4 linked regions of the Alligator mississippiensis genome follow. The protein of the gene in region 2 interacts with the protein of the main gene of each other region in a biochemical or structural test. Links are inferred from orthologs where the notes say so. Each region holds a gene or a part of one and is shown on either strand. Other genes may lie near its edges. The genes, in order: NUP153, KPNB1, KPNA4 and NUP98.

Evidence for each region.
Region 1: the proteins of KPNB1 (region 2) and NUP153 form a complex in vitro, tested with the Homo sapiens proteins (4 studies listed by BioGRID and IntAct, with this or other methods). The link is inferred for Alligator mississippiensis from reciprocal best matches to the Homo sapiens genes KPNB1 and NUP153.
Region 3: the proteins of KPNB1 (region 2) and KPNA4 form a complex in vitro, tested with the Homo sapiens proteins (2 studies listed by BioGRID and IntAct, with this or other methods). The link is inferred for Alligator mississippiensis from reciprocal best matches to the Homo sapiens genes KPNB1 and KPNA4.
Region 4: the proteins of KPNB1 (region 2) and NUP98 form a complex in vitro, tested with the Homo sapiens proteins (3 studies listed by BioGRID). The link is inferred for Alligator mississippiensis from reciprocal best matches to the Homo sapiens genes KPNB1 and NUP98.

The regions. Positions count from the first base shown.
Region 1 is NC_081826.1:130,932,190-130,939,135, forward strand, and holds the start of NUP153 (nuclear pore complex protein Nup153), read right to left. Parts: upstream 3,021-6,946; 5' UTR 2,853-3,020; coding exon 2,769-2,852; intron 1-2,768. UniProt on the Homo sapiens protein: Component of the nuclear pore complex (NPC), a complex required for the trafficking across the nuclear envelope. Functions as a scaffolding element in the nuclear phase of the NPC essential for normal nucleocytoplasmic transport of proteins and mRNAs.
Region 2 is NC_081827.1:167,231,606-167,238,665, reverse strand, and holds the start of KPNB1 (importin subunit beta-1), read right to left. Parts: upstream 3,013-7,060; 5' UTR 2,874-3,012; coding exon 2,834-2,873; intron 2,550-2,833; coding exon 2,491-2,549; intron 1-2,490.
Region 3 is NC_081830.1:68,628,906-68,635,964, reverse strand, and holds the start of KPNA4 (importin subunit alpha-3), read left to right. Parts: upstream 1-4,058; 5' UTR 4,059-5,847; coding exon 5,848-5,940; intron 5,941-6,741; coding exon 6,742-6,786; intron 6,787-7,059. UniProt on the Homo sapiens protein: Functions in nuclear protein import as an adapter protein for nuclear receptor KPNB1. Binds specifically and directly to substrates containing either a simple or bipartite NLS motif.
Region 4 is NC_081824.1:481,359,050-481,366,885, reverse strand, and holds the start of NUP98 (nuclear pore complex protein Nup98-Nup96), read left to right. Parts: upstream 1-4,834; 5' UTR 4,835-4,937; intron 4,938-7,836. Other genes in the region: PGAP2 (post-GPI attachment to proteins factor 2), read right to left, coding at 506-758, 2,342-2,638. UniProt on the Homo sapiens protein: Plays a role in the nuclear pore complex (NPC) assembly and/or maintenance. NUP98 and NUP96 are involved in the bidirectional transport across the NPC. May anchor NUP153 and TPR to the NPC.

The sequences.
Region 1 (6,946 bases), on a different chromosome or scaffold from region 2:
GGTCTAAATCCTCTCAGGCAGAAGAGGAAACTCACTGAGGCCCCATATTCTGAGCAAGTGCAAAATCATTAAGCTTTCACAAAACAGAGCAAACAACTCCTTGATCAGACCTGAGACATCCCACTGGCTCAACCCCCTTCCTCCAGCTACCTCTAAAGCTGCCAATGTATCCTACAGGTCAGGGGTAGACAATCTTTTCCAGCCACAGGCTGGAATGACCCAACCCTGGCTGGGAGATAGGTGGGCAGCCAAAGCCTCACATCCTGCTATATGATGTCTGATTCCACTGGTAACTGCTAGGTATGCTTGTAGAATATCTACTGGACTAAATCCCTTTAAAGACTTAGCTGGATCAATGCCTACTTTTTAGTTTCTGATTGGGGAATAAGTCTGAACTAGGTTTTGAAAAGACTGAGTAGGTTAGCACCAAGGTACTTCTGGGTACATGCAGAAATAGAAATTTCAGGCAAAAAAAAAAAAAAAAAAAAAGAAGGAATTTTAAGGTTACAGACTGCAGCATGTATTGAAGAGAGATGCCTCAAGAGGCAGGTCTGATTCAGAAGGTTTTAGGATTGCAATTTTTTTGACCCGGGTGCCTAAATTCTTTCAAAGGTCATTAAAAAAATTTAATCTAAAGGCCAACAATTTAAACTTTATTGAGGGCTCCTTGCAAGGTACATTTTCCAATGGAGGCTGTCCCTAGTGGGATCTACTCTGACTGGACATCAGCTCTCAGTCATGGCTACAAGCAGAAAACTAGACTGCACATGTAGGCATACGTGCAGATTAGCAAACTACCACACAGCAAGGACACAGGACTCAACTGTTTTGCTTTTCAAATCTTCTCATTTAATAGATTATGGAGGGCCACAGGGATCACACTGGAAGGTTGCATGTCTTGGGCCCTAGTCTAGACTATTAGCACACATCGGCAAAATTTAAGCCTACTACTTAAAATTAGCTGCCCAGAAATAAATATGCAGAATGTTCTGCAAGTTTGCAAGCTCAACCTGGAAAAGTGCTTTTTGAAATATCCAACAAAACATGCACAATTTAATAAACCAATGAGACAATGGAATTTAAAATTATTACAATACAGAAAAGAAACTTTCCTCAGATATTTTACCGTATTTTACCGTAAATTTGATTGGTATATTTTGGTTTCAGTATCTATCTTTACAGCTTTATCATTCTTCAACTAGGTCTCATCATCATGCACATTACCTGATTTTTCAGTTCTGCTTCACCTTTTGCAAAAGTATGTCAATACTTGATCTGAAAGAGTAGCAACTTGCTTTCAACAGTTAGATGTCTGTGTCATTAGGCTGCACCAGAATTTCCGAGACAAATGCACATATCACGCTGTATAAAACAATATTGTGCTTAAGGCTGTACACAAATTACAACTCCCTGTTAATGATTTTGAGAGGAAATATGTCATTGTATATATATCTGTGCGTGTCTGCCTCTGAGCATATATCAACATCTATCTAGATCAGGGGTTTTTAAACTTCTTAGACTCAAGGCACTCCATGATAAACTAAGGCACCCCTTGGAAAATGTCATCTCTTAGTTTTCACTTATTTTTTGACTACGGAAAATTAACAGAGCAACTCTTCAGTTGCAAGGAACTCAGAAAGACTACAACAGGTCAGAATGGTTTTGATTCTGTGGATTATATGAAGGTGTACTTTGTGAATCATGGCTGCATACCTAGCATTTCCAACACTGCATGGCACCCTGCAGCACCCTAGAAAGGATCTCAAGGCACCCCAGGATACCATGGCACCCTCAGTGAAGGTACACCCCCCCAACCTGTATCTACACACATACACGCAAATCCTCATTTACATGGTCTTCTAGCTGAAGTTACTAATTAAAAAAAGCAGTAACTTAGACTGTTGCCTTCAACACTTCCCTTAAGTGTTCCCAAAGTGATACTAGCAAAGTACACAGGGGCACGGCTTATGCAAGCCACGGGCACATCTCAAACAGGTGGCAAGCTGAGGCATTAACAGGGCAGACGCCTTCCCTCCTGCCTGCCTCCAGCAGCTTGGGCTATGCACCCAAGACAGCTCCCTGGGGGAAGAGCAGTGATTTGCTAACAAAAACTCATTCTCTCTCCACCCAGGGAGGCAAGGCACAGAAGGGGAAGGCAGGAGAGCAGTTTATGAAGCAAGATTTCCCGCTCCCCCTTCATATTATATCACACCCAGGATGTTCCAGACAAAAGCCACGTGTAGGGGACCACTCTTGAAAAACTTCAGAGGAAAGGGGCAGGGAAGGAGGCTGTGATGCAGAAGCCCTCAGTGGAAGCACCTGGGGGGGGGGGGGAGGAGTGGGGGGCTTTGTAAACTGGACTGAGATGGGCAGAAACAAGGGTTCAAAGCAGCAAAAATCTGAAACATCAATGGAACAAGATAAAAAAAAAAGTCAGGAAAAAAGTCATCAGGAAAAAATATACTGCACCCCTCACAAGCACACACAACATGCAATCCCCCCATATCCTCCTACCACAGGCAGGGCTGGAAAGCCCCTCTGGCCCAACCACCCAGCCATGTCCATCCCTTCAGCTATTCCCACAACTGGGAGCCCCCCACCATGGGACACCCCCCGCCTCAAACGGGGCTGCGGGCAGGAAGGGGTTAACCCCCCATTTTCCCCCCCGGGGCGCAACACCCGCCAACGGCCGCGCCCGCCACGCGGCCCCGCCCGGCGCGGTGGCTCCCACGTGGGCCCGGGGCCGCACCCGCCCGCAGGCCCCTCACCTGCTTGCCCCGTGAGTAGGGCGTGGAGGCGCCCAGGTGGTAGCGCCGCGTCCGGATCTTGCCGCCACCGCTGCCCGAAGCCATGATGGGCCCCGGGCCCTTCCCCGGGTCCCGCGCGCCGTCCCTCCCCCCGCGGCCCGGCCGCTCCCCGGCCCCGCCCCTCTGTGCCGTCACGGGCTCTGCGGAGCGGCGCCCCCGCCGGCGCGCGGCCCGTCTCGCGGCCTCCCAGGCCTCACGCGCCGCCGGTTCAGTCCCGCCCGCCCGCGCCGCGTCCGAGTCCGCACACCCGTCCCCCCCCCCCCACCCGCCCCGTCCGGCCCAGCAGCCAACCACGCGAGCGCCCGCCCGGGCGGCGGAGCATCACTAGCCCGCGCCCTGTCCCTTGCGTCATCCGACTGGGCGCCTTACCCGGCAGCCCTCGCGCTCCGCCCCGAGGCCTCCTGGGAAGGGTAGTTCTCGCGCGAGTGGGGGGTGCGGAAGGACAGAGCAGAGCGGAAAAGGAGAGGGAGGGAAGGCGGGAGCGCCAGATCGAGGCTGTGACGTAACCCCATCGCCGCGCCCTCAAGCCGTAGCTCGGTGATTCACTGGGGCTTAATTACCGTAATGATCGTATTTGTGGCGCAATTTCAACCCTTGCACGCTGTACCCCTAATAGATAATACTAAAAGTTGTCAAAATGGGCGCTCATTCTCGGGGAAGCTCATTGGTGCAGCATATGCAAAAAAACACCCCAGGTCACTCTCTGGAGGGTCTTAACCAAATTTCGGGTTTGCTGTCATCACTTTCTCCTGACAGCTTGCCTCGGAATGAAGAAAGGCTTCAACTTGGATGCCCCAGTTCTCCCTCACTAGAGGTTACAGGTAGCAATAAAAAAGTAAATGAGGCTGATTCGCATACTTATTTGCATACTTTTTTCAGTGTCCAATAGTTTTGCAGAAAATATGAAATTATGGAAATTATTGTATTTAAGACCTAGCAACACTGCCTCAGAGGAGCCTCACAAAGTTGTAGAGAAGTGGGGCTGGAAGCAGCCTCCAGAGGTCTAGTCAACCCCCTGCCTGAGGCAGGATAAGCCCTCGACAGACCAACCCCTACAGCCCTCCTCTAACCTCTATGAAAGACCAGGGTTTGAATTGCACTTTGACTCTTGGGGGAGCGGTCTACAAAAAAAGTTGGGCTGCCCATCATGATGCCCTAATAAAATCCCCTAAAATCTAAAATCTACCCTGGAGATCTTCAAAAGGAGACTGGATGCTCACCTTGCAGGGATTATTTGACCCCAGCAGTCTTTCCTGCCCAGAGCAGGGGGCTGGACCCAATGATCTCATACGATCCCTTTCAGCCCTAAACTTCTGTGAATCTGTACAATTCTGACACTCCCTTCCTGGTTATGATTTTCAAATCTTACAGGAGGGCTCTCATCTCTTAAGCAAGGGGGGGGCTCAACCTCCCCTCACCCCCAGCTTCCCTGTAATTTAAACCCTTCGAAAGACTTACCCTCAGCCCTGGCATAACAAGGACCTCACACCCGAAACCTGCTGCAGGACAGTGGAGTTCTTCAGCATCAGGGAAACAAAAGGCTCTATATATGTTTACAGCCTTTATATAGAGAGTTTTTGTTTCCCTCATGCTGAGAAACACCACTGTCCTGCAGCAGGTTCAGGTGTGAGGTCTGTGTTGTGTCAGGGTTGAGGGTAGTCATTATATATATGTTCGTATAAAAATTTAAACCACAGTTGATGGTAGTCTTACACACACACACCATTTTAAAGACAGTCTCAAAAGAACTTTCCCGGGCCTGATTTCTGCATTGGGCAACAGCTATGGGTGGATCTAGGATTCTGAAAAGGGGAGGTGCACATGGTACGGTGCATCATCACAGTTTTGCCCAGTGAAAAAGATGCTCGAAGCTCTCTTGATAGATATTAGCCTAGAGCTCTAGTATTCAAGTTAAGATTGAAGCCAAAAAAAGAAAAAGAACAACATGCATTGGAATGTGCATGAATTTACTCAATTACATCAACTAACGAGGCAAAAAATAACCCAATGTTGTTTTGTTTGTCTTGGAGTCATTTTAGTTAAAGGCATGTCTCTCTTTCAGATCCCTAAAACAAAACCAAGCCATCTTGAGCATCTAGGCACAGCACATGTGCCAGAGCATGACATGTGAAGGCATTTTGCTTGGCACACATGCATTGGGACAGACAGCGGGGGAGCCACAAGGGGCCCAATCTTTGTTGTGGCAGTACAGCCCCGGCCCCTTCCCTGCTGCCCACCCTGAAGTGCACATACACCCACCACTGGCAATGAGCCAGGCCAGGGTTCCAATGACCCTAGTTCAGCTTTTTGCAGCCTCCTTGCAACCTGCCGCAAAGAGCCCAGGCTCCTGCCCAGAGCTGGGGCCTGCTGTGGCAGACAGCCAGGAGTCTGTAAACAGCTGCACTGGGATCCACAAAGCCTAGGCCCAGCTTGTTGCTAGCAGCGAGTGCACTTGGGCCTCAGGGCAGATGGCAGAGAAGGGGCTAGGGCTGTACTACCACAACAAGGATCAGGCCCCTTTTGTCTGCCTCTGGCACATCTTACAAGTCAAGGTTGTAGGTGTTTTTGGCACTCTACCCAAAAATGTTACCAACTCCTAATCTAGACAGTTCCCCCAAGTGCTCCACTGAAAGTTAATTTCTACACTTGAGCTAACATTCACTTGAGTTTGTGTTCCTACACCTGAAAACCACTGCTGGACTCTGAAATGGGAGCTGTGAGACTAAAAGCAGCTAGTAGCAGCATGGTAGAAGTGAGAGCTGGACGAAGGGAACCATTAAAGACTATTTTAATGGAAAGTTTAGAAGGAATTGAGCAAATTCTAATGAGCCATTAAGTCAATGGACTCCCTCACTGCTGCCTGAATAGAAATGCTGGCTTTTAACTTTGGATGGACTAGAAATCAAAGCAGGGTACGAGTGTACCAGTGCACCGCCCTCATCCCCAGCTGGCATGCACTAACCTTAGGTTACACATGCACAGACCTTAGCAGATCTCTCTCACTCCTTTTGTTTCCCCCCCCCCCCCCCAACCAATCCTCAACTTGCTTGTGGGTGGGGAGGGGCCTCAGGGAAAATTCCATAGGAAAGCAGGACCAAGGACAGTGGTGGTTTGATTGCTCAGGTGAGAAGCTGGTGTCTTTTTATTTTTGTTTTTTTAAATGAAAGACCGAGTTCAAGCAGGAAGTGTAGCTTAAAGTTTTCCCTCCAGCCTCTTCTTGCAAAAAAACAAACTTTTTCCAAAAACCTCCCTTCAGCATACCAAGTCGGTCTGTGCAAAGCGGCTAGTATTCGCTTTGGATTCAGCTGATTCGGGGGGGACAGCGATTCGATTTGGTGATTCGAAACACTGTCCCTAATTGATTTGGCTCCCGCCAAATGAGCCGAATCTCCGAATCACACAGGCCCCATCCCCTGCCCGCTCTCAATGGCTGCCCCGCCCAGCTCCTGGCTCTTTGGAAAGAAAAAAAAGAAAAGAAAAAAAGCCTAGCACTCACCAGCTGCTGCCAGGCACTGCCCCATGCTGCATGCGGGAGGGGGGTGGGAAGCCCTCTGTCATGAGCCCACCCCTGGCTGCTCTCCCAGTCCCTCCGTGGCTGCCCTGCCTGCCGCAGTTCCTGGCCCTTTAAAAGACAACCAACCAAGCAACCTACCCACCCTGCTCTCCAGGTCCTGCCTGGCAGGGGGCAATCCCCACTGCCCCCCCCCCCACTTTGTGGGGCTTTTCCACAAGCCCCCAGAAGCAGCAAGGCCACTGCAGGAGCCAGCGAGTCCAGGGTAGGTTATTTGTTTATAGGGCTGGGAGCTTGGGTGGGCAGGGGTCAGGGGTTTGTGGCAGAGCACCCCCCATGCAGCAGAGGGCAGTGGGGGGGCAGCAGGGATTGTTGCCCACCTGGCAGCACCCAGTGAGTAGGAGCTTTTTTTTTTAGAAACTGAGAGCTGGGGTGGGCGGAGCAGCCATGGGGAGGTGGGAAGGGAATAGGGGCTGGCAGGGGTTCCTCTATAGTCCTCTTCTCCAGCCTTCCCTCCCCCACCCCGTACTTACCAGCATGGAGTCTGGGTTCAGCTCCCTGAAGCAACCAGCAGGGACTGCCAGAAATCACTGAAGTTCTCCAAAGTGATTCAGAGAGCTTCAAATAG
Region 2 (7,060 bases):
CCTGCATTAATGTCAATACAATATAGCTGGACATAGGAGTTGAAGGAAGACTTGCATCGGCTGTCTGCTCTAAACCCAAATGCAACCAATTCCTAAAAATTGAACAGTTGCACTCAAATGTTAGAAACCTGTACAAATTTCCCAGTAGACAGAATGGAAAACTCTGGTAGTAGCTAGGAACGACTGTAAGCAGCATGTAACAGAAGACCATAGATTTATATATGACCTTTGTGAATATATCACCTGACAGAATTGTAAGGAGGCTATCAAATAGTCTGTTTAGACACCTGAAATACAGTGTTTGCAAATAAAGTTTGGGTCCATCAATATAAGCTCGATTAAGCCTTACAAAAACATCCAAAAAGCATATTGGCCTAAAACAAAAATCTCCCTCATTCACCTTTTACCATAATGAGAAAAGTAATTTTACTCATCCCCAAAGAACTTTTATTATAAAGTCAGAAAGAAGGAATTTTGCCAGACTAGATTGTGGAAGCTGATGAAAAAAAAATGTGACAATGGCAAGGGTCACAACCCCCAAGGAGACACTGGGCTCAACTCTCAAAATTCCATTCTGAATTTGATGCGGAGGAACTCTGGGACATACAGCTGAAAAGCAGGAGCAGCTTGTATTCGCCATTACTTTATTTTCTGCCTGCTTCCTGCAACTATTTATTTAACAAGAACTACGTAAGTAGCTGTTTTATTCTGGGTCCAAACATCAGCAGTTCTATCTGTAATTTAGATAGACTAATTTCAAAATCCTTCTAGATTACATTTGGATTTGGGTCTGCAACGTACATGCTCTCACAGCCTCTATACATAACCAAGCTCTGCCAAAAGTATTGGCTAATGCTCTAGAATGTATGCAGGAAAAAATTGCAAGAACTGACTGGGACACATTTTCATCAGCTGCACCAGTAAAATTTCTCAGCTACAGTTGGGTTCCACAGTTACAGTGGAGGGCTATGATTTACTAAACAGCTAGCCATAGAACAGGAACTAAAGAGAAAGATATTAAACATAAAAAATATTCCAATTATGCTTCAGAAGGGTTCCATGATCACTAAAAACATGGAGTTGCATAACAGATATCTCAGTTTAGTCTGGAGAAGAGACAACTGAGGAGGGATTTGATAACAGTCTTCAGCTACCTGAAGGGGGGGAAAGGGTCCCAAAGAGCATGGAGCTAGACTGTTCTCAAACAAGGAGCAATTGTCCCAAGTTGCAGCAAAGGAAGTTCTTCCCAATACCTCACCTAAACTGTCTCAATAGAAGGGCAGTAAAGCACTAGAACAGGCTACAACAGAGAGGTGGTGGAATCTCCATCCCTGGAGGTTTTTAAGACTTGAGCAGACAAAGCTTTGGCTGGCATGATCTAGTTGGGTATGGTCCTGCTTTGAGCAGGGGGCTGGACTAGATGACCTCCTGAGGTCCCTTCCAACCCTCATTTTCTATGATTTCAGAATTTCTTGTCCATTGACACCGGTGAAGTGGAAAGCACATATATGTCCACATAAAGAAAAACACCCACATTTTGCTTCCAATCTGAAAGAAAAATAGGTGACCAACAGCAACAAGCCACACACCCCTGTACCCTTTCACTGAACTGCCATAATGACAAACAGCTTATTTGGCTGCTCACAGGAGAACCTTACACATTGCAGCCCCATCCATCCTTGATTTTAGTGCACTCATGTGCAGGGGCTGCCATGTGTTTTAACAGGTCAACACGAGACAGCCTTTTGCAGGCCTGAGGGTGTGAGCTCTGCTCCCCGCCACCCTAACTTCCTTAAGAAAATACACTTCAGACACAGACCCTCCCCCAACCCAGGGTGAAGCTCTCTCTGCTTCTCCGAACTCCAGGCCAGATCAGACAAAGGGGGAGGGAGGCATAGCCCAGAAGACAGGGAATGATGATGAAAAGCAGAAAGGGGGTATCAAAAGGGGAAGAGGATGAGAAAAAAAGGACCCAGCCCCAGTGAGTGAGGAAAAAGAGAATGAGAAACAAATGGAGCAAATGAAAAGAAGAAGAGGTGCAAGTGATGGCCAGAGGCAAAAAAAAGTCAGTCAGCAAAGAAACAGAGGAGCACCCTGCACCCAGCCTCGCAAAGCAGCATGAGGGGATGTGGAAGAGGGAGATGGGTCCCCAGCACAGGAAGGGAGCAAGACCCCAGGGGGCAGGCAGGACTTGCCCTATGGTGGCAGTGGGGGCAGGACGGGGGGTAGGGAGCCACCCCCCGCCCCAGCCCGGGCTCCCCACATGTCCCGCAGGCCCCATTCTCCCCCCTCCCGCCGCACACACAGCACCACGCAGCCTAACACCCTCCCCCTCGGGCCGGATGCGCGCTGCGATTGGCCGCCGGGTCTCCCGGGCGCGTCGCCATTGGCCGGCCGCCGCCCCGGCTGGAGCCGGCGAGGTAGGCTGCACCCTTTATGGCGGCCCGGCCCGGCCTGGCAGTACGGCCCCAGCCCGGCCGCCCCGCTCACCAGGTTCTCGATGGCCGCCTGCTCCAGGAACTTCTGCGCCGCCTCCAACTCGGAGCGGTCTGCGGGGAAGGGACAGGCCGCATCAGGCGCCGCAGCTCCCGGCCCGGGCCGGCCCGCCGTCTTCACCTCGCCCGCCCCTGCCCTGCCCTGCCCTGCCCTGCCCACGGGCCCCGCGCGGGGAAAAACTACGTCCCCGCGGCGCCGCGACACGCCCGCCCCACCCGCCCAGGCCCGCACCGCCTGCGGCCGCGCCGCGCCCCACCCGCCCGCCCGGGCTCCTGCCCGCGGCCCCGCGCCCCCTCAGCCGCGCCCGCCGCCGCCGCCTGGCCCTGCCCTGCCCTACCCGGCGAGACCGTCTTCTCCAGGATGGTGATGAGCTCCATGGCGGCGGCGGAGGCTCCGGCGCGGCGCGGCGGTGGGGCGGGGCCCGCTCCTCTCTCGGCTCCTGCGGCGCGGGGACCCGGGCGGCGGCGGCGGCAGCTGCTCGAGGCGACTGTGGCGGCGGCGGAAGGAGAAAGGGGCGGGTGGGAGCGCGGCTCGGCGAGGCGGAGCGGAGGGATATGAGCCGCTGCCCGCCGCCCCGCTGCCGGGGGCTCATTGGCTGCCCGCGCCCGCCACGCGCCGAGCTGATTGGCCGCCCGGCCGCCGCGGCGCATGCGTGTCGGCGGGCCGCCGCCGGGTTCCGGCGCCGCGCGCTGATTGGTCGCCGCCGCGCCCGGGCGCCCAAGAGAAGTGGCGGCAAGCGGGGGGTGTGGGAGCCGCGTGCGCGCTCTGCGTCATGACTTCCCCTCCCCCACCGCGTGCAGCGCCGGGCTGCCGCAGCGGTCCTTGCAGGGTGCAGCCGGGGGCCCCGCTGCGCCGCGGGCAGCTCGCAGCTGGTTTCGGAAGAGGGGGCGCTCAGCCCGCAAGGGTTCGGGGGGGTTGGGTCTCCTGGAAGGGGGGAATCTCCGGGAGGGGGTCTTCTTCCTTGTGGGGAGGCTGGAGCAGGAGGCTGAGAAGCGCTGCTCGGGGGCTGCAGCTCCTGAGCTGAAGGCGGCCGCTGCTCGGGGGAGCTCCGACCCAGCGGGGGAGTGGGGCCCCCGGAGAGGCGAGGCTCCATCGCAGCTGTCACAAAGCGCTTCCCTTGGAAGGATGAAGCCCACCACCAAGGGCTGCGCTAAAGGTAACGTATTTGCCCCTGCGATTGTGGTGGGGTGGGGTGGGATGGTGGCAAGGAGGCTTTAAGATCTCCCCATCCTCTCTTCTCCTGTGAAGGTGCTGCAGCCTCCATGTGCCTACCCAAGAAGAGATGAGAAGGATGCGAGTGCTGCAGAAAACAGCTTTCCTCCAGCCCCAGCTGTGGCTCTTCCTCATCAAACAGCGTGTGTAAGGGGCACTGGGCTCGCACAGAAATCTGCTATATTGGGCACACCTGATGTCAAAGAGTTGTTCCGTGTGCATGATTTGGGTGGTACAAGATCCTGGGGTGCCTTTGGAAAGGGCTGGGAATTACCTGAACATCCCCTTCCTCACTGAAATTCAGTGGCATCCAAAGCTCAGGAGGTGCTCCAGGGCTAGCACTTTCAACACATTTTTATATGCATTGGTTAACTAAATACTCTCCTAGCTACTGTATTAGTGCCCTTAACTCTAACATGACAACAACTATAAGGATATTAAGCATGATCCTATGTCAAGTCATACTAGTTCTTACCTACTTCTACCTGAACAGCATCCCTTGTCCGTAATAGCATCGCAGCCCGTGTTCTCTTCACTTCTGTAACAGTGTCAAATTCTTTTGGTCAGCCCATTGGAGGCAGAGAGCCCAGGAGGCAATAGGAAGCCCACAAATGGTACATGGGGGGAGGAGGAGAATCCCCTTGATGGGCTGGGATTAAATGACACTACAACTAGCACTAGAAATAATCCACACCTGGTAGCACTTAAAACTGACGTTTGTCGGGTATGAATGGTCAGCAGCCCAAGCTACAACTGAACCAGCTCTGACTTTTGAAGCAGAACGTGAAGGTAGTTGACTGCTCTTTTGTCACTGACTGCAGTTCTGTAGAACCCACCACAGTAAGAATGAAAATCTTCACAAAGACTGGAAATAAATATGGTGCAGCGTCCTGCTGGTGAAGAAGGCCGTAGAGAATGTTTTCTATCTGGTTGAATTTCTAGAGGCTGATTCATCTGAGATATACTAGTAAGGGAAGGCAGAAATCAAAGCCTGAAATTGGTGTCCTGTAAGCTTTTGGGGGGGGGGGCAAACATTGTCCTGTTCTGGACAGTGCCCAACACAACGTGCCCTGTGATTTGGCTTCCAAGGTGCTCCATACTACATATCAATAGGGACTAATCTATGCACTGTTTTTGTACTGGGAAAATGTATTCCAGGTAGTAGTGTGAGACCTTTTATTTTCAATGGAAAGAGTAGCAGTCCAATCCCTAGTGTAGACAAAGGATGGCAAAAGATCCCTTCTTTCTGTGGCAGGGGTGTCAAACTCATTTGCTCCTGTGTCCCCTGCCGCCGCCCCCCCAACCCCTGCAGCAGGGTAAGCAGGAATGGCAATAACCCCTATGGGTGCTTAAGCCACTGTTTGTTCAGGGAGCCCTGGGGCATAACACTTCTTTTGTTGCAGCAGCAGCTTACGTATGGCAAACAAGTCCCCAGTGAAGCTCTATACCCCAGAATTCAGTGGCAGAGAGATGGATTTCAAATTCACCCCTGTGGGTGCCTGAACTACTGTCAGTTAAGGGGGCTGTAGAGGTTAATGTTGCTATTACTTGTCCCATCCTTAAATCTCCAGCCCCTCTGGGGGACTGTGGGCCATATGTTTGACACCCTTGCCACAGGAGGAACTGCCATAACATATAACCACATGACATTTCATGGATGTGAACATACATGTCCCTTTAACTACCAGGATAGTTAAAGCAATACAACTTTCACATGTGGACAATACCTGAGTCAAACTCCTGAGATGCACTGATGCTAAATAAAGTCTTGCAGAAAAGGAGAACAAGGAACAAAGGTGCAGCTGCATAATTAAACCAAGGTGAAGAGGGTGTCTCAGCGGTTTGTGCTGTAGGAGGAAGAGTAATTAGTAACACAATCAGGCTCTATTGTATTAAATATGAATGCCATGGGGAGAAGGGGTGAGTAGCCAGATATAGTCAACCTGATTCTCTCAGGCAACAGGTACCCATAGGCTGATAACAGGGAGGGATGAGAGGGGCCCCATTTTTCAGACGGAAGTAGGAAAGTCCTGTCTGTCTGCAGATATGCATGAGACTGTTTGAGCAGAGGTGTCCCATCTCATTCTGCCTTCAGAGAAACAGTTCATGTCTCTCTAACTCATCCTTGTTTCTGCTGACATATGGCTTCCCTGGCACTTTAGAAACCACTCACCATTGAAATGTAGCTGCCTCTGAGGAGGAAGCCAGCTACAGGAGGGAGAGGAAAGTTTAACTGAGGACACTAGCAGAAAATCCTCCTCTTGATATAAAAGGTGCCAGGAGCTCAACACCCAGCAGCCAGATATTACCTTAGACAACCTTCCTCTTCAAGTTCTAGGCACAGTGAATGCCATGGAACTCCATTTATCTCTGAGAAGCTCCTAACCCTGCCAAGAGATGAACCAGTGGAGGAATGGAGTATAAATTTTTAAAACCTGTAAGGTTCCAACTTTGTCATCCTTTCAAGCCATGAAGCCCCTCATAACACTCCATGTTGGAGAAACTGAGACACATCAAGATCATATGGTGTCTGAGTGGTAGGGCCAGAAATAGAGCCCAGGAGTCCTGGCTCCTAGTACTTTATCCACAGATACTGCTCCCTTCCCCTCCTACCCTGCTAAGTGCCTTAGCCTGGAGGGAAGAGTATGCTCTTCTAAGGCAAGAAAGAAGGATGTACAAATATGGAACAGGAACCTGTCCCTAGGGAGGTGGGTGAGTATTAACCCTGCTTTATAATCGGGAAGTTGGTCCAAGGTCAGGCAGAGGTGAAAATGGAATGCAGGTGTCCTTGCTCTTCACCCTGGTTTACAGGTGGAGACTAGCAAAATGACACATCTAAGGTGATGCAGCTAGGCAGTGGGAGAGCTGAGGATGGAGCCTAGGGGTCCTGGCTCTGCCTGGTTTTTCAGCCTCTCCTCATTTTTTAGCTATGCTCACCAGCTGTACATAATAATAACTAGCACTTTTCAGAGCAGAGGACTTCAGTCATCTCCTGTATGTGGAAAAGGAAGCAGAGGCACAGAGAGGGAAAACAAACTGCCTAAGGTTAACCAGACAGCCAGTAGCCCAGCTAGGAATAGAGCCCAGATCTCCTGAATCCCAGTCCTGTCCTCTGCAAAGAGTGTGAACTTCCCTGTGGGTGATGAATATTCCCTGTGATGCACACATCCTGCTGTATAGCTAGACTCACTGATGGAGGCCATTGCTGAGGGTACAGCTGCTTAATCTGCTGTGCATGTGTTAGGTCTAGATTCTCTTACTTGGTTCACTGACTGCTTGAGTGAATCATCCAAAGGTAGAGCAGGACTAGAAAATGTGCTTGGTGCCTGGAGTCACCGTGCTGGAGTTAGAA
Region 3 (7,059 bases), on a different chromosome or scaffold from region 2:
AGCGTGGCGCACGAGGCCATTTTGCTTGGCACGCTGTGGCCAGCCCTGGCCAGCAACGGAACTTGGGCTGCTCCCAGCTGGGCTTGCAGCATCCCAGCTGCCTGTTGGCTGCAGCCGGGAGGTTCCAAACAGCAGTGCCGGGCTCTGGCATCAGCTCCTCACTGGCGTGTGCAGGCGCACCTCTGAGCGGGCGGTGGGCGAGGGGCCTGAGACGCCGTATGCCCGGTCTCTCCCCTGCTCCCAGCATGGAGGTGAAGAGATGCGCTGGGCTCATCATAGCCAGCCCGGGCTCTGGGCAGCTGCAGTGGGCAGAGTGCAAACAGCTGCGCTGGGCTGCACAGCTCTGGCATTGGCTCCGTGCTGGCGGCGACTGCACGGGCACCTCGGGGCAGTCAGCAGGGCACCCCACCCCCAAGATGGCAACCCCGGGGGGGGGGGGGCGGCTATCCTAGCAGCCCTCAACAGTTCACCAGAACTTGGTAATTGGCCCTCAAGCTGAAATAATTGTCCACCCCTGGGCTAGAAGGTCACAGTAGTGGCAGTATTGTTCAGTGTCTAGGGCATTCCATGCAAAACTCTGTAAATGTATAGGCTGTCTAAACAGATATCACGCACTAATTTGATTCGTAACTGTTGAGCCTGTTCTGTTAATAAACTTATAAATGATTAGTTGTAATTTCAGTATTTTAACTGTTTGTGATGATCTGCACCAGTCACACGTGGATGAAAAACATATATATATATATATAGCTCAGTGATCAGTCACTTTCTTATCTTTGTTTCTCAAATCAAATTGGTTTCAGCTGTTGTTTCTATATATTTATTTACTAATCATTTTGTCTTGTAAAATTATAGTCTCAGATGCTCTGAATTTACAGACTTGCCACTTGCTCGTTTTATTTCCCATAGGTGTTAGGCAGTTGTGATTTCCCCCCCTCCCCCCCCCCCCCCCCCCCGCTATTTGAATGGCATGAAAAAGAAAACGTTTTTATTTCATAGTGCCACTGAGCTTAGTTATACAAGGAGATGGCTTATTTCAATTATATGTGCCCATTTACAAAATTCTAAATGTTTTTGTGACTTGGCCTCTTAAATTGGGCATTGCTTAAAAAAAACCACTGAGGAATGCCGTGTGTACAAGTTAGATTTTATACTACTAGATTTTCAGTTACTTTATTAGCTTAAGTATAAATCCTGACATTGATTTTAATATTTCGTTTAAAGCTTTCTAAACGTGTGTCTTATTTGCTGTTCCTGTGACTGGTACTTTTTATTGAAGGACTTTATGTACTAATGGATTGTGTCTCTTGTCCAGCTGTCCTGGGTGCTGCAGCTGTGTTACATAGGGTCCTATGTTGTGGCCTTTGGTATGTTAGGAAGCTGTTACAGTTTTTAAATTCTGCTTGTGGTGATCTGTGTCCTTTACTCTGTTTTTGTTTCTTGTCCCCAAGCATAAAATAGCTTTTTGTTGTTCTTCCAGCTTTTATTAAAATTACTTTTCCATTCTCCTGCCCCAACTAAAACATTTAATTCAAACATGGCTTGTTCAGTAGAGTAAAACAAATGTTCGAAATGCATCAGGTATGATCTTGCTCGTTTTATTATGAGCCTTGTGTTAGGGATATAAATACTGTTTTTAAAATATTTGTTTAACCTTCTCTAATTATGTGGGTTAAATGATTAAGCTACAACATGGCAACTGCTGAGAGCGACTCCTAGAGCTTTTGACTGGGGGAAGGGGTGGAGGAGGCAAGCCCAGCCAGACAACACAGTCTAGGTGAAGCCTGTAAAGGAGCAATTATGCGTTTAATTGATGAGTAATTAGCAGGGATCCTGGTTTTCTCTGATTTTAAATAAAATTGCAAATTCTCTGATAACCCCAAAATCCATGATTAAAATAAAAAGCCACTATGCCTGCCTGCCTGTAAGTTGAACACAATGTTTTATTGATATATTTACAATTTTAAAGCAATTTGGAAGCACACCAGTGCCTCGATCACTATAATACATTCTAAATACTTGTAAATCTTGGTATTTAGTTGTGTGATTTTATCATGGAAGATCAGAGCTAATCTCTGCCCCCTTCATTCACAGAATGCAGGTCCAGGCCCCTTAGCCCTTTTACCCCCCACTAGTGGGGGCCCCCAGCTGCCAGGGTTACAAGGCCAGGGACCTGGGTCTGAGCCCTTGGCCCTCCGCAGCAGCACCTGAGCCCTGGCTGCTGCCCACGGGAGGTGGTGGCTGCTGTTGCAGAGTAGCAGAACCTGGCACCCAGCATGGCAGGGCAGAGTGGGGCTGCCCAACTCCCTTCCTTCCTGTGGCAGCCTCAAACCCCCACCCCTGCCTGACTTACCTGTGAGAGCTGCTCTCCAGGCTCCCTGGCAGCCATGTGCGTATACGTGTCTCTGGCCTGACTGCGCTTCTCCCGTTCCCCCCAGCCCCTTGCAGGCTGGAACTCTGCCATCCTGCAGATTGCTCATTGCAAAACTGCAAAATCTACATGTTTCTCTGTTAAAATGATCAGTCTGTATTTTCTTGGGTGAAGGGGGAAATTCACTTTTTTCTGTTTTTCCATGGTAAATGGAAAACCTGGATCCCAGGTCCTTAGGCTGCTAGCTGTTTTCCTCTTAAGCTATGGGTACTATAGTCCCCCTTGTCTCTCCCACATCCCTTTCCCCACCACCTGGTTCTTCCTTCCCCGCCCTCCCTTCTCCTGTCCTGGTGCCTTCTGAGTCCTGCTGGGGCACCCACCCCAAGTTGAAGGATAATCCTAAACTAACCCATTATCACTGCACATACCAGTTAAAGGATTAATCGTTTAACCTTTCACATCCCTACCTTGTGTTGAGCTGGAAGGATTTTTGTTTCTAGAGGACAAAGGAGGGGGCACTTAGTTGCATGTTGGCAGTTAGAGGAACATTCCCTATTAAATTCTTTGAATGAGAAGGAGATCAGTGATATCTCTTTTCCCTCCTTCCGCTGCCCCTTCCCTTATCTCGCACTTCACTCTGTCAAAGGAAGCTTGTTCTATAACAGTTGAAAGTAGCACTTTCCATATTGTGTGTCTTATTTAAGCCTTCCAGGAAAAATTAGGTTTTAGTTAAATGAATATTCCTCTTCAGGAATACAGATTAAAATTTTAATTTTGTCAAATTCAAATTTCAAGTCCTAATCTTCAAGCTTCTTCCTGGTTACATTGCTAGTTTGCAGAAGTCTTTCTTTTAGCAGTTCCTTCCCTTTGAGCTTTCTTTTAATACTGTTTCTTGAAATTGTCAGCTTACTCTACACAAGTCTACCACCGTTTCTTCATTCAAACCTCTTATTAAAATCGTGTTTTCTTTAATTTTCTCATTCTAATTTAATATTAAAACAAGATTCTTTTAACATTAAAATCTCATTACAGAAAAAAAATTGCTCTGCTGTCTTACAGATGGAATGTGTAGTGATTGCTTTCTGAACTTGAAATCAAGTCAGGCATCAGAGTTGAGTATTTTTAGCATCCGTAGCGGCTTCAAATTTGTTTCATTAACTTGTATAACTTTATAGTCATATTATTCTATTTAAGTACATTTCTGCTGTATGAAAGATGCGCAAATTACTATCAAAATTACAAAGCTGGCTTCTTACATAATTCCTGTACCATAACTGCTACAACAACACTCCAGTCGTAACACAGCACTTAAGACATATTTCATATAAATGAAATATGCTTTTATTTTGTTGCTTATCAGATTTCTTCTGTCTAAACTTTGTGCAGTAATTTAACCATGGTTATTAATATATCTGTCATTCTAATAGCAATACTAAGCTACAGCAGAACTGACTGAGAAGCCTGCCACAGTAGGTAGCTTTATATTGAATGATGGAACTTGTACAAGTGCTTCTGTGTACAAAAGCATGCATTTAGACCAGGGCATCTGGAGGATGCTTCAGCTGAGTGTATTTCATTCAGGAGAGAACATTTCTAGCTGTATCTAATTAATAGAATTAAATTATGAATTGGGTTTGTTTGTAGAAAATCTTTTTTTCATAATGACTTTATCGGTGCTTAAGCATTAAGGTTATAGAGTGAAGCACTCAAATAAGAAAAAGTGTTAAAGTTGCATGCACAAACTGCATGGATTCTGGCATCTCAGTTACATTGCTTTATTGGGACTCTTCGGCTTGGAGAAGTGAAGACTCAGGGGTGACTTGGTGGCAGCCTGTAAGTATATAAGGGATGTGCATCAGGAACTGGGAGAACATCTATTCACCTGTGCTCCCTAAGGGAAGATAAGATCTATCAGTCACAAACTTCTAGAAGACCGTTTTAGACTGGACATAAGGAAAAACTTCTTTACAGTCCTAGTCTCTAGAGTCTGGAATAGACTTCTCCCAGAAATGGTGCAAACACCTACTCTGGATACCTTTTAAGAAATGCTTGGATGGGGTGATCTGACCCCAGCTGACTTCCTGCCCCCTGGACAGGGGGCTGGACCCAATGATCTCACAAAGTCCCTTTCAGCCCTAATGTCTATGAAATCTATGAAACTGAATGCAGATTGGAAACTAGTGGGGAAAGCTGTATACTTGTTGCTTTGAATTTGGATTGAATACTATTTTCACAATCTAGATGAGGAATAGATTCTTTAAGATGATAGTTTGATATTCTGGAGTTTGATTTGGTGTGTGCAAAGGATTATGTGACAGTTGTCTAAGATGGCAGGATCACACTGACCTAGAAGATCTCTTTTCATTTTGACTTCTTCTGATGTGAAGTGGCAACTGAAGAAATTTTAAGTGTTTTGCACAGTTTGTGCAGTGAGTCAAGCGAAGTTTCATAGAAAAGATTAAATATTACCTTACTGCCTCATTCACTGTGAGGTAGTGTGCAATAAATTAAAGTATTTGTGAATTTTATTGTATGATAACAGGCTACATGGTAATCCATACACATGGGGGAAGGACTAAAAATGAAATCTTAAGGTTGAGAGTCACAAAAAACTAAGCATACCAGTTATTAATTCAAGTGAGTTTAAGAGCAATTATCAGATGCTCTACTTATGGTTCATGCAAGGAAGTTAAACTTCATTGGTGCATCTACCCATGCAGTTAATGCAAAGCAGTAAACTGTGAAACAACTCAAGCTGGACTAAACTGTTCCCAGGTGCAGTATCTATATGTGTACCCGGGATGGTGATTTGAGCCAGGGCAGCAGAGTAGGCCCCCAGCTGGCCGGGCTGACCAGATATAGTTTACTTCTGCGATCAGCCTCTATACGTCCATTTCAGCGTGGTAAATGACTCTGCTGTAAGATAGTACTGTCCCCAACAGTATTATCTTATGGCAGAATTTTAGTTTACTGCGCCCTAATATCAACTTGCATGTAGACAGTGATGCTTTACTGTGGAGCTAATTAGTCAGCTCTGCAGTAAAGCATATATTTAGATGTGTCCTATATGTTTTGGATGCAAGTAGAGTAACTTTACTTCCATTGCATTAGTCTTCTACTGCAATAGTTTGTTCAGTTTTAAGGGCAAGATCCACAAGAGGCCTTCAGGTTGGTGATACTGAGCCATGAGTCAGTCCTGGGCACCAGGGCAAAATTAGTAGCCTGTTGATTCAGTTATACACCTTTCAAAATGCCTGGGGGGGAATTAGATGCCTTTAGAATGGGTTTCAATAACCAGTATTGTTAAGCTGCCCAAGGGCTCCAGTAGCAGTCAGGGACTCAAGATTTTAAGATTGACCTCACTTACCCCCTTTCTTTTAGAAACAAAACAAGGCTCCTGTTTTTCTTTCAGAATATGACTAGAAGAGATGGTGGCAATGTCACTGTTTTTTCTAGGATAGCCTTGTGGTTAGAGCATGCAAGTGGGATATAGGTGGCCTGGGTTTAATTTCTTATTCCTCAGGGGATTCAGCGCATTCCCCGCCAAGCCCCATCTTCCTCCACCCCAGGTGAGTGACCTGATCTGCAGACTAAGCTGTTCTGTGAAAGTGGTGGAGCTTTGCAGATCATTAGATTAATTGGGCCAGAGTGCAAGTGTGATTGGTCTGGCAAATAATGCAGTTGAAAGCATATCTGCAAAATGACTGCTCTTCACTAGTTTGTAATAACATTTGGAATAGGTTTTTGGGGTTTTTTTTGTTTTTGTTTTTTTGCCATGTTATGTGATATAAAACAACTTGCTTGTCCCATGGTCCTGTGTTAAGTATGTTATTGATTTATTTCCTCCCCATTTGATTTTTTTTTTCCCCCCTTTATTTTACATTGTAGATATCTGTTAGCATGTTCTTAAATAGTACAATAAAGAGTTAATTATTTGAAGTGTTTAGTTACCCAAATGCAGGACATGTTGCCAATTTGTGTCATGAGTGTTATAAATGAGAGCAGGGACAACAAAATAATTGTTAAATATTATTAACAATTAAAGGGAGGCCAGCGTGGGCAGGTTAACCTTTTTAATGGTTTAAAATTTTTTTTCTCAACCTTCAAATAAGAAAAGGACCTGTACATGTATACATGTTCATTTAATAAGCATTTCATTAACCAAAATTGGTTTTTATTAAAGGAATTAGTTCCTAGTTAACTGACTCTATTATATATTTATTGCTATTTTTATATAAAAAAATCTAATTTTGATGGCCTCAGTTGAAAGAAAAATGGTTTAATTAAAGTCTTAAATGTAGGGAAAATCATAATGGTCACTAGGTCCAGATTTGGAATGTTATTTAATTGTTCTGTTTTCAACTTTTCAGACTATGAGAAGACAACGAAATGAAGTTGTCGTGGAGTTAAGAAAGGTGAGATCAGTTAACATTGCTTCTTTCAAAAACAACTTGATGTCTCAGAATTTTGAGTTACCAGTATCTGTATGATCACAGTGCATATTCTTTTGTAGACCTTTGTGAAAGATGCTATCAATCTTTTGTTTTATAAAATTTGTCCAGACATTTGGACAGCCTTTTAGTGGGAGGGAAGCTTTTGAAAGGCAGATCTTACTAAGTCAGAATCTAAGAACTCCACCTAAGTTGTCTTCCTGTAAACTAATTGAAGAAGTTTTATTTCAACTAGTT
Region 4 (7,836 bases), on a different chromosome or scaffold from region 2:
CTGTGTCAGCATAGTTACCACTTCTAAACACTTGTGATGAGAAAAGGCAGAAACACATCCTCAGGCTCAACATGCTTGAAGACTGCACAAAGTGTCTTAACAAAGCTCATTTTAACTCCACCTGAAGACTAACGTGGGAAATTTCATCCCAAAAGGAAACTAGTCAAGCAAAAGTTAAAACGTATGTTAGAACGGCAGCTAGAAGAGAAGACCCCACCTTACCAGCAGCAGGAGCGGGGAATTTTCATTTTCAGAAGTGCATCCCCAAAGGGATAAGATATGGTCTAGATGCAGGGACAGGAGCTAAGAAGCATCAAATTCAAACCCCATCTCTGACACCAGTGTCCTACTATGAGGCTTGACTAATTCATGCTTGCAAAATCCCTTGGTGACAGCTGCCTTCTATACAAGATCCAGATACTCTTATTATGGTGACATGAACCGCTGATTTTAAGGGAACGTGCGTGTGTGCGTGCACGTTTGCTGTGGGAAGGGAGAAACCTACCGTAATTTTCGGTTGAGGACACATATGTCAGAAGGAGGAGAGCAATGTTTTCAAGCAGGTTGAGCCCGAAGTTGAAGCGGCAGAGCCGAAGGTAGCGAGGGTGCGTGCAGTGGCAACTCTGGTAGTGGTTCCAGTACGCGATGGCCACCAAGATGCGTGGAGCCGAGTGCAGGCCGATACACAAACGCCACACATAACGCTGAGGGGTCTCACCTCCGATAGCTGCACTGATGGAGGGCAGGTAATTTGAGACCTAGGGAAGAAACAACAGTTTGTGGATCAGACATCAGGACTCTGTATTAGAAGGTCTCATTTACTGCTCTCTAAACTTTTACAGGCCAGATCCTGTCCTACCTATTAGGTGTCCAGATGGACTTAGGTGCCTAAGTGTGATGCTGTGCCACTGCTCAAATCCCTGAAAAGCTATTATACAAAAGTTGGCTTGTCCTCCTGCTTGCTGTTTTGTGTGACTTGGTCTTGAGGGGAAGAGGAAGTCGTGTTACAAACTTGGGTGCATTAAAGGTTTTTTTTCAGGTGAATGAGGATTGTGCACATAAGCACATAACAGGTGGAAGAGGATGAGTCCCTACCTTTTATAATCATAGAGAAAGACCCCCAGGTCTTCTAGTCCGACCCCCTGCTAAACCAGTGCAGCCAAATGTCAGTCTAACCTGCTGTGGAAAACGACCAGGGATAGAGACTCCACAGCCTCTCTAGGTATCTTATACAATGCTTTGCCACCCTCGTAGTGAGAAAGCTCTTTCTAATCTCTAACCTAAATTTCCCCTGCTGTAATGTGAGACCATTGCTCCTTGTCCTATCCCCTGCAGCCACAAAGAATAGTCCATCCCAATGCTCTGTAAAATCACCCTTTGAGTATCTGAAGGCTTATCACATCTGTTTTCTCCAGACTAAATAATCCCAGTGTTTCCAATTTTTCATACTGTGTTTCCCAGGCCTCTAATCGCTCGTGCTGCTCTCCACTGGATGCTTTCTGATTTGTACCCATCTTTTTTGAAATGCGGTGCCCAAAACCGGACACAATACTCCAAGGGAGGCCGCACCAACGCTGAACAGATGAGAAGTATCACTTCCCTGGACTTGCAAGAAACTATTCCATTAATATGGGCCAGTGTGCTATTGACTGTTTTTTTTCTTTTGCACCCAGAGCACACTGCTGGCTCACATTCAGATTCCAGTCCACAGTGAACCCCAAATCTTTGTCTGCAATCTGTAGCCTAGCCAGTCACTCCCCAGGCTATATCTGTACATGAGAGCCTTCCCTCCTACGTGTGGGACTTTGCACTTGTCCTTAATGGATTTCACTCGATTACTTTCAGACCATTGCTCCAGTCTATCCAGGTCATTCTGGATCCTAAATCCCTCCAAAGTTATGCAGCTCCACCTGACTTGGTGTCAGGTCCAAGGCATGAATGGAGATATCGAGTAATACCAGGCAAGCACAGACCCCTGGGAAACCCCCCTCAAAACCACCTCCCAATTAAAGTGAGTCATCAGGGGCTGCTCTTTGGAGCATGATGATCCAACCACTTATGTATCCACCTTCCAGTCTAGGTTAAACTACTGTATTTCCTTGGCTTACTAATGAGAATGAAAAATGCATAGCACAGAGGACATAATTATTCCTGTTTCACTGACGAGGAAACTGATAGAAGCAGAGAGTGATTTGTCTGAGATTACACGGCAAATCAGCAGGGGAGGCATGACACCAGATGTCCAGCCACCTACTCAAACCAGTAGACCACACCACCAATCCTAGCAGCCATACCTTTAACACACTTCCCTCTATGAGGGATTAGAGGGTCTGTAACTTACGCCACAGTGTGTAGCCGTCGTCTCCTGGAAATGGAACAGCAGAGACCAGATCACGCAGAAAAGAAACCCAAACAGCGGGCAACACACGGTCCCAACCGCCAGGGTGGTAAAGCGAAGTCGAAACAGGATCCCATCTCGATCCAGAGGCAGCGGTAACTGAAACATGTTGCTGGACCTAGAAGCAAAAAGCCAGTGTTTGACGGGTGCCCCTTCTCCCACAGGAGGACTTCCCAGCGCCGATGGCCACAGCAGATCCAAGCGATGCAAAAGGCCAAGGTGTGCAGCAAGTCGGCGCATGACCTTTCACATCCGAAACCCCAGGTTCAAACTCTGCATCGCCGGACTAAATACAAGCAACGTGAGTAACGGCTCAGATCTTCAGGCAGGTTGCAGTTTAGCTTCTGTGGGGGTTGAGGGGGGGAAGCTACAGCAGCGTTGATTCAGACAGACCCCCTAATCTAGGGGCAGGGTCAAGAACGGAGCGAGAAAGAGAGTCCCGCACGGACTAATCCGAAACGGTGCTGCACGTCAGTCGCTTCCATCACAGACAATCCTGAGAGCAACTCTCCGGATCAGGTCCGGAGGCTGCAGAGCTGGGACCCTGAACCAGCAAGGCTCGCCCGACCCTCCGGACCGTCTGGGGAAAACAGCGCAGCAGACGTTTCACAGCACGGATCCGGGCAAGTTCAGATCCTCAGCTTTTATCACCATCAGACGCTGAAATACATCAGAGGACAACGTTATCCCAGCACAATTTGAGCTACAAAAAAATTTGCCGGGTTGTGTCTAGACCCCTCTTTATTAACCAGGGTGCCTTGCCTCTCGCTCGAGCCTCGTGGCCCCCTTTTCCAGCCTGCAGACTAATATAGACTCATAGAAATCATAGAGAAGTGGGGCTGGAAGGCACCTCCAAAGAGTATGTAGTCTAACCCTCGGCCTGAGGCAGGATCATCCCAATCCAAGCCATAATCTAACCTCCTAGTAAAACTACCATCAACCCCGGCACGGCACAAGTCTGCACACCACGCACCTGCCACGAGCGAAGCAGGGCGACCACAACAGTCAGTGTCCTGCTTCTATAAAAGATAGTTAAAATACACTCGGGGCGATCCCACGAAAACGGACATTATCACAGAAAACGAGGGGGGGAAGGGACCTCCGGTCCAACCCCTTGCTCCAAGCAGGACCAGCCCCAATTATATATCATTGCAGGCTTACAAATCCCCTGACATACACAACAGAAGCAGGGGAGGCAACCAGCACGGCCCAGAAACCTGGGAAATCCCCATAGCCGAGCGCAGGCATCGCTACGCCTACTACGTTTTATCGAACCTCTCCTTGCGACGGAGCCCACAGCTTTCCGGAGAGGCGCCCGTCTATCCCGCTCCAACAACGAACACGCTGCCGCGAGATCCGACCGAAACCGAGTTTGCTGCCGCGGGGGGGCCGCGTCCTCCTCTTCGAGCTGGATTTGCCGAGAGCGCTCCCGCAAATCCCTCGGGGTCAGAGGCGGTCACGTGAAGCAGCACGGGCAGGTGTGCATCACGCATTGAACACGCGCGGGCTTGCACGGGGGGGGGGGGGGGGGGGATGACGACTCAGCGGGCATCGTGATTCGCACGCCCCGTCGTAACACCGAATCGCGCCGAATCCCAGCTCCCCCCCCCCCGTCGGCAAATGACAACCGCGCGCTCTCCCGGCGGACTTTGCTCGGAGCCGGCCTTGCCCCGGTTGCAACGCGGACACGCCGCGCCTCAAAGCACCCCCGTGCCCGTCTCCCCTCACCCCTCACACGCGCCTGGCACCAATAACCTGAAGTCTGCTCCCATTTGCACCGCTTTAATCCCCCCCCCCCACACTGCAAACGTGAGGTCACAAGATCTCCCGCACCCCCCCTGCCCCTGGGGACCCCCCCACGGGCCCCAGCACCCCTCCCAGTGCCCCCCACATGCCCCCAGTTGTCGTCAGCGCCCCCCCCCCCGGGACCCCTGAGGGAGGCGGGCGCGGGGGGGGGGACTCACGGCGCGCGGCGGCCGGGCCGGGCGGCGGGGCGGAGCCGGCGGCGCAGTCAGCCCAGCGGGCGGAGCCGGCCCGCCCCTCTGGATGCAGCTGCGCATCCCTCCCGCAAAACGGCTGCGGGGGGAGACTTCCCGTGGCGGGGTGCGGGGAGCCGCGCATGCGCACATCAACCCTGTGCCGGCGTGCGGACGTGTTTGGCGGCTCCCCCCCCCCTCACTATGGGAACCGCAGGCCGCCCCTCTGATTGGCCCCGCCCCGCCTTTCGGGCAGCGGTTCGAAAAGCCCCGGATGTCGGCTGGGCGCGAGGGGATTGCTGGGCCTTCCCCCCCTCGGCCAATCAGAACGCGACCCCGCGGCCCAATCAGCGCGGGGGAAGGCGCTCTTGCCCAATGAGAGCCGGGCAACTTCGGTTTCGAACCGCGGCGGCCAATGGGGCCGCGGCTGCAGGGCGGGCCAATGGGGCCGGGGCGGGGCGTGAGGGGAGTGTGACGCAGTTTCCCTCTCCTGCGAGGCGGCGGTAGCGGCGGCAGCGAGCGTCGTGGCGGCGGCGCTGGGCCCAGGCGCGGCCCAGGCTTCGGTAAGCGGGGCCGGGCCGCGGGGTGGAGGCCGCGCCGGGGTGTCCCCCCGCGGGCACGAGGGGCTGAGCGCGAGCGACCTGCGGGCTTTCCCCCGGCTCCGGCCGCCCGCCCGCCCCGCCGACGGCCCAGGCCTTCCGGGCGGACAGGCCGCATCCTGCTTCCTGGGCTCCATAGCAACCCCCTCCCCCGCCCGCCCTCTGACTCCTCTCCCCACCGCCCTCCTCTCCTTGTTATCCTATCTTATTTTCCTTTATTTATTTTTAGGTCTTGCCCTCATAGATTCATAGATGTTAGGGTCGGAAGGGACCTCAATAGATCATCGAGTCCGACCCCCTGCATAGGCAGGAAAGAGTGCTGGGTCTAGATGACCCCAGCTAGATACTCATCTAACCTCCTCTTGAAGACCCCCAGGGTAGGGGAGAGCACCACCTCCCTTGGGAGCCCGTTCCAGACCTTGGCCACTCGAACTGGGAAGAAGTTCTTCCTAATGTCCAATCTAAATCTGCTCTCTGCTAGCTTGTGGCCATTGTTTCTTGTAACCCCCGGGGGCGCCTTGGTGAATAAATCCTCACCAATTGCCTTCTGTGCCCCCGTGATGAACTTATAGGCAGCCACAAGGTCGCCTCTCAACCTTCTCTTGCGGAGGCTGAAAAGGTCCAGTTTCTCTAGTCTCTCCTCGTAGGGCTTGGTCTGCAGGCCCTTGACCATACGAGTTGCCCTTCTCTGGACCCTCTCCAGGTTATCCACATCCTTCTTGAAGTGTGGCGCCCAGAATTGCACACAGTACTCCAACTGCGGTCTGACCAGCGCCCGATAGAGGGGAAGTATCACCTCCCTGGACCTATTTGTCATGCATCTGCTGATGCACGATAAAGTGCCATTGGCTTTTCTGATGGCTTCGTCACACTGCCGGCTCATGTTCATCTTGGAGTCCACTAGGACTCCGAGATCCCTTTCCACTTCCGTGCCACCCAGCAGGTCATTCCCTAGGCTGTAGGTGTGCTGGACATTTTCAACGTCCACTCCGCGTGCCCGCGTTGTGAGCCATTGACTCCTGTCCCTATCCCCGTTTATTTCTTTTCATCATTATCATCATCATTATTATTATTACTATTATTATTATTAATGCGCACACAAATGTGCATATATGTGTGTGTGTGTGTATAATATATATAGAGAGAGACATATAGCCATGTATACACACACGTGTGAATCCATGAAATCACTTACGATTATAGATGAGTAGTATAGCTACATTGATGTATTTATATCGTAAACAGCGATCCTGTTGTTTTGGAAGGACTTTTTTGAGGTGACTTTAGACTTGTTGAAGGGCTCTTGGCCAGAGTCTCCCCCGGCTGCAGGGTTTTCTCGAGTCTTATCCGCTTTCTTAAAGCGTCCGAGGAAGTTTGGACAGATGTTTTCCAGGGAGGTGGGCGACGCAGCGACCTTGTTTGCTGGCGTGGTGTCGGATCGGGCATCGTAAAGTCGAAACGGGGTGTCGGTTTATAAACGTCGTTAAGTGCCGTTCGTTGCAACTCGAAACGTCATAAGTCGAGGGCTGCCTGTATGGTGAGAGGCCGTCAATAATGAACCCCTCTTGACTTTCTCTTTACCACTTAATATTTTGTAAACCTTTGTCCTGTCACCCCTCGGGTGTCTCTTCCTAAACTGAAGAGGCCTGGCCTCTTTAGTATCTCCTCCCTACCACTTATCTTTCTTGCCCTTCTCTAGACCAGTGTTTCCCAACTGCGTGTGGCACAAAAGTGTGCCATCAGAAACAAACAGGTGTGCCGCCGAACTTTGCCACGGCAATGAGTTACAATAGGCGTGAGGATGGGGGAATGTCTTAACAGGTGTGTCGCAGAAAATTTTTATTAAAGTAAGTGTGCCTTGGGCTGGAAAATGTTGGGAAACGCTGCTCTAGACCTCCTCCGGTTTTTTGGTATCTTGTTTGAGATAGGGAGACCAGAAATGGGCGCAGTATTCAAGGTGCGAATGCCCCAGGGATTTTTAAGGGAGCATCATGATACTTCCAGTTTTGTTTACAATTCCTTTCTTCGTAATCTCTAATGGTTTTGCTTGATGGCTGCTGAGCTCATGTTCTTAGTGAACTGTCACAGGTCGCTTTCCTTTGTGGCGACAGCCAAGGTGGAGCTGTCTCCTATCTAGTAGCAATGGTTCTAGAGCAGATTGCTAGAGAAGCAAGGGTTAGGTAAGAAGAGAGAGGGGAGAAACAGGGAAAGCAATAAACACCAATTATTCCTATTACATGGGGTGAGGAGTTGTCTTTATTTTTCCTAAGGGGTGGCAGTGGAGTCGTCTTCCTCTGACGTCCTGTCACCGTGCTCAAATTTGAGTCCAGAAATGGGCACGTACTATTGCGCTGCCTCGAGCTAATTTTTCACAGGAAAGAGAACTCTTGTCCAGCTCAAGCTTACTTTCAGGGGAGAAAGCCTTCAGTAGTTACCTGAGTGTAAAGCCAGTTGCTAGAGGAAATCCTCAAGGGTTGAATGCTGTTTGAGATTCCCCATCTGAATTTGCAGTCTACAGTAATAGAAGAAGCTCCTCTAATTGGATTGGAGTGAGGGGGATGGGAAATGGCTTGTAAGCCAGCTGTCAAAAGAGACCTCAAAAGTCAGTGGGTTACTTGCACCCTTCAGTAGCACAGGAAAGATGAATAAGGTTACGGAGTTAATTGCGCTATAACTACTTCTAGGAAAATACCTTGGCCATAGGAACTATTAAACTTCTGCATATCAGAACACAAATATACCTTTATCACGTGGATGTACTGCACTGTGAGGGTAGTAGTAGCCTTTGGATCTAGGAACCACGATGAATATTTTAGAATAATACCACAAATCTGTTAATGATATTTGTTTAATTTATTGGAAC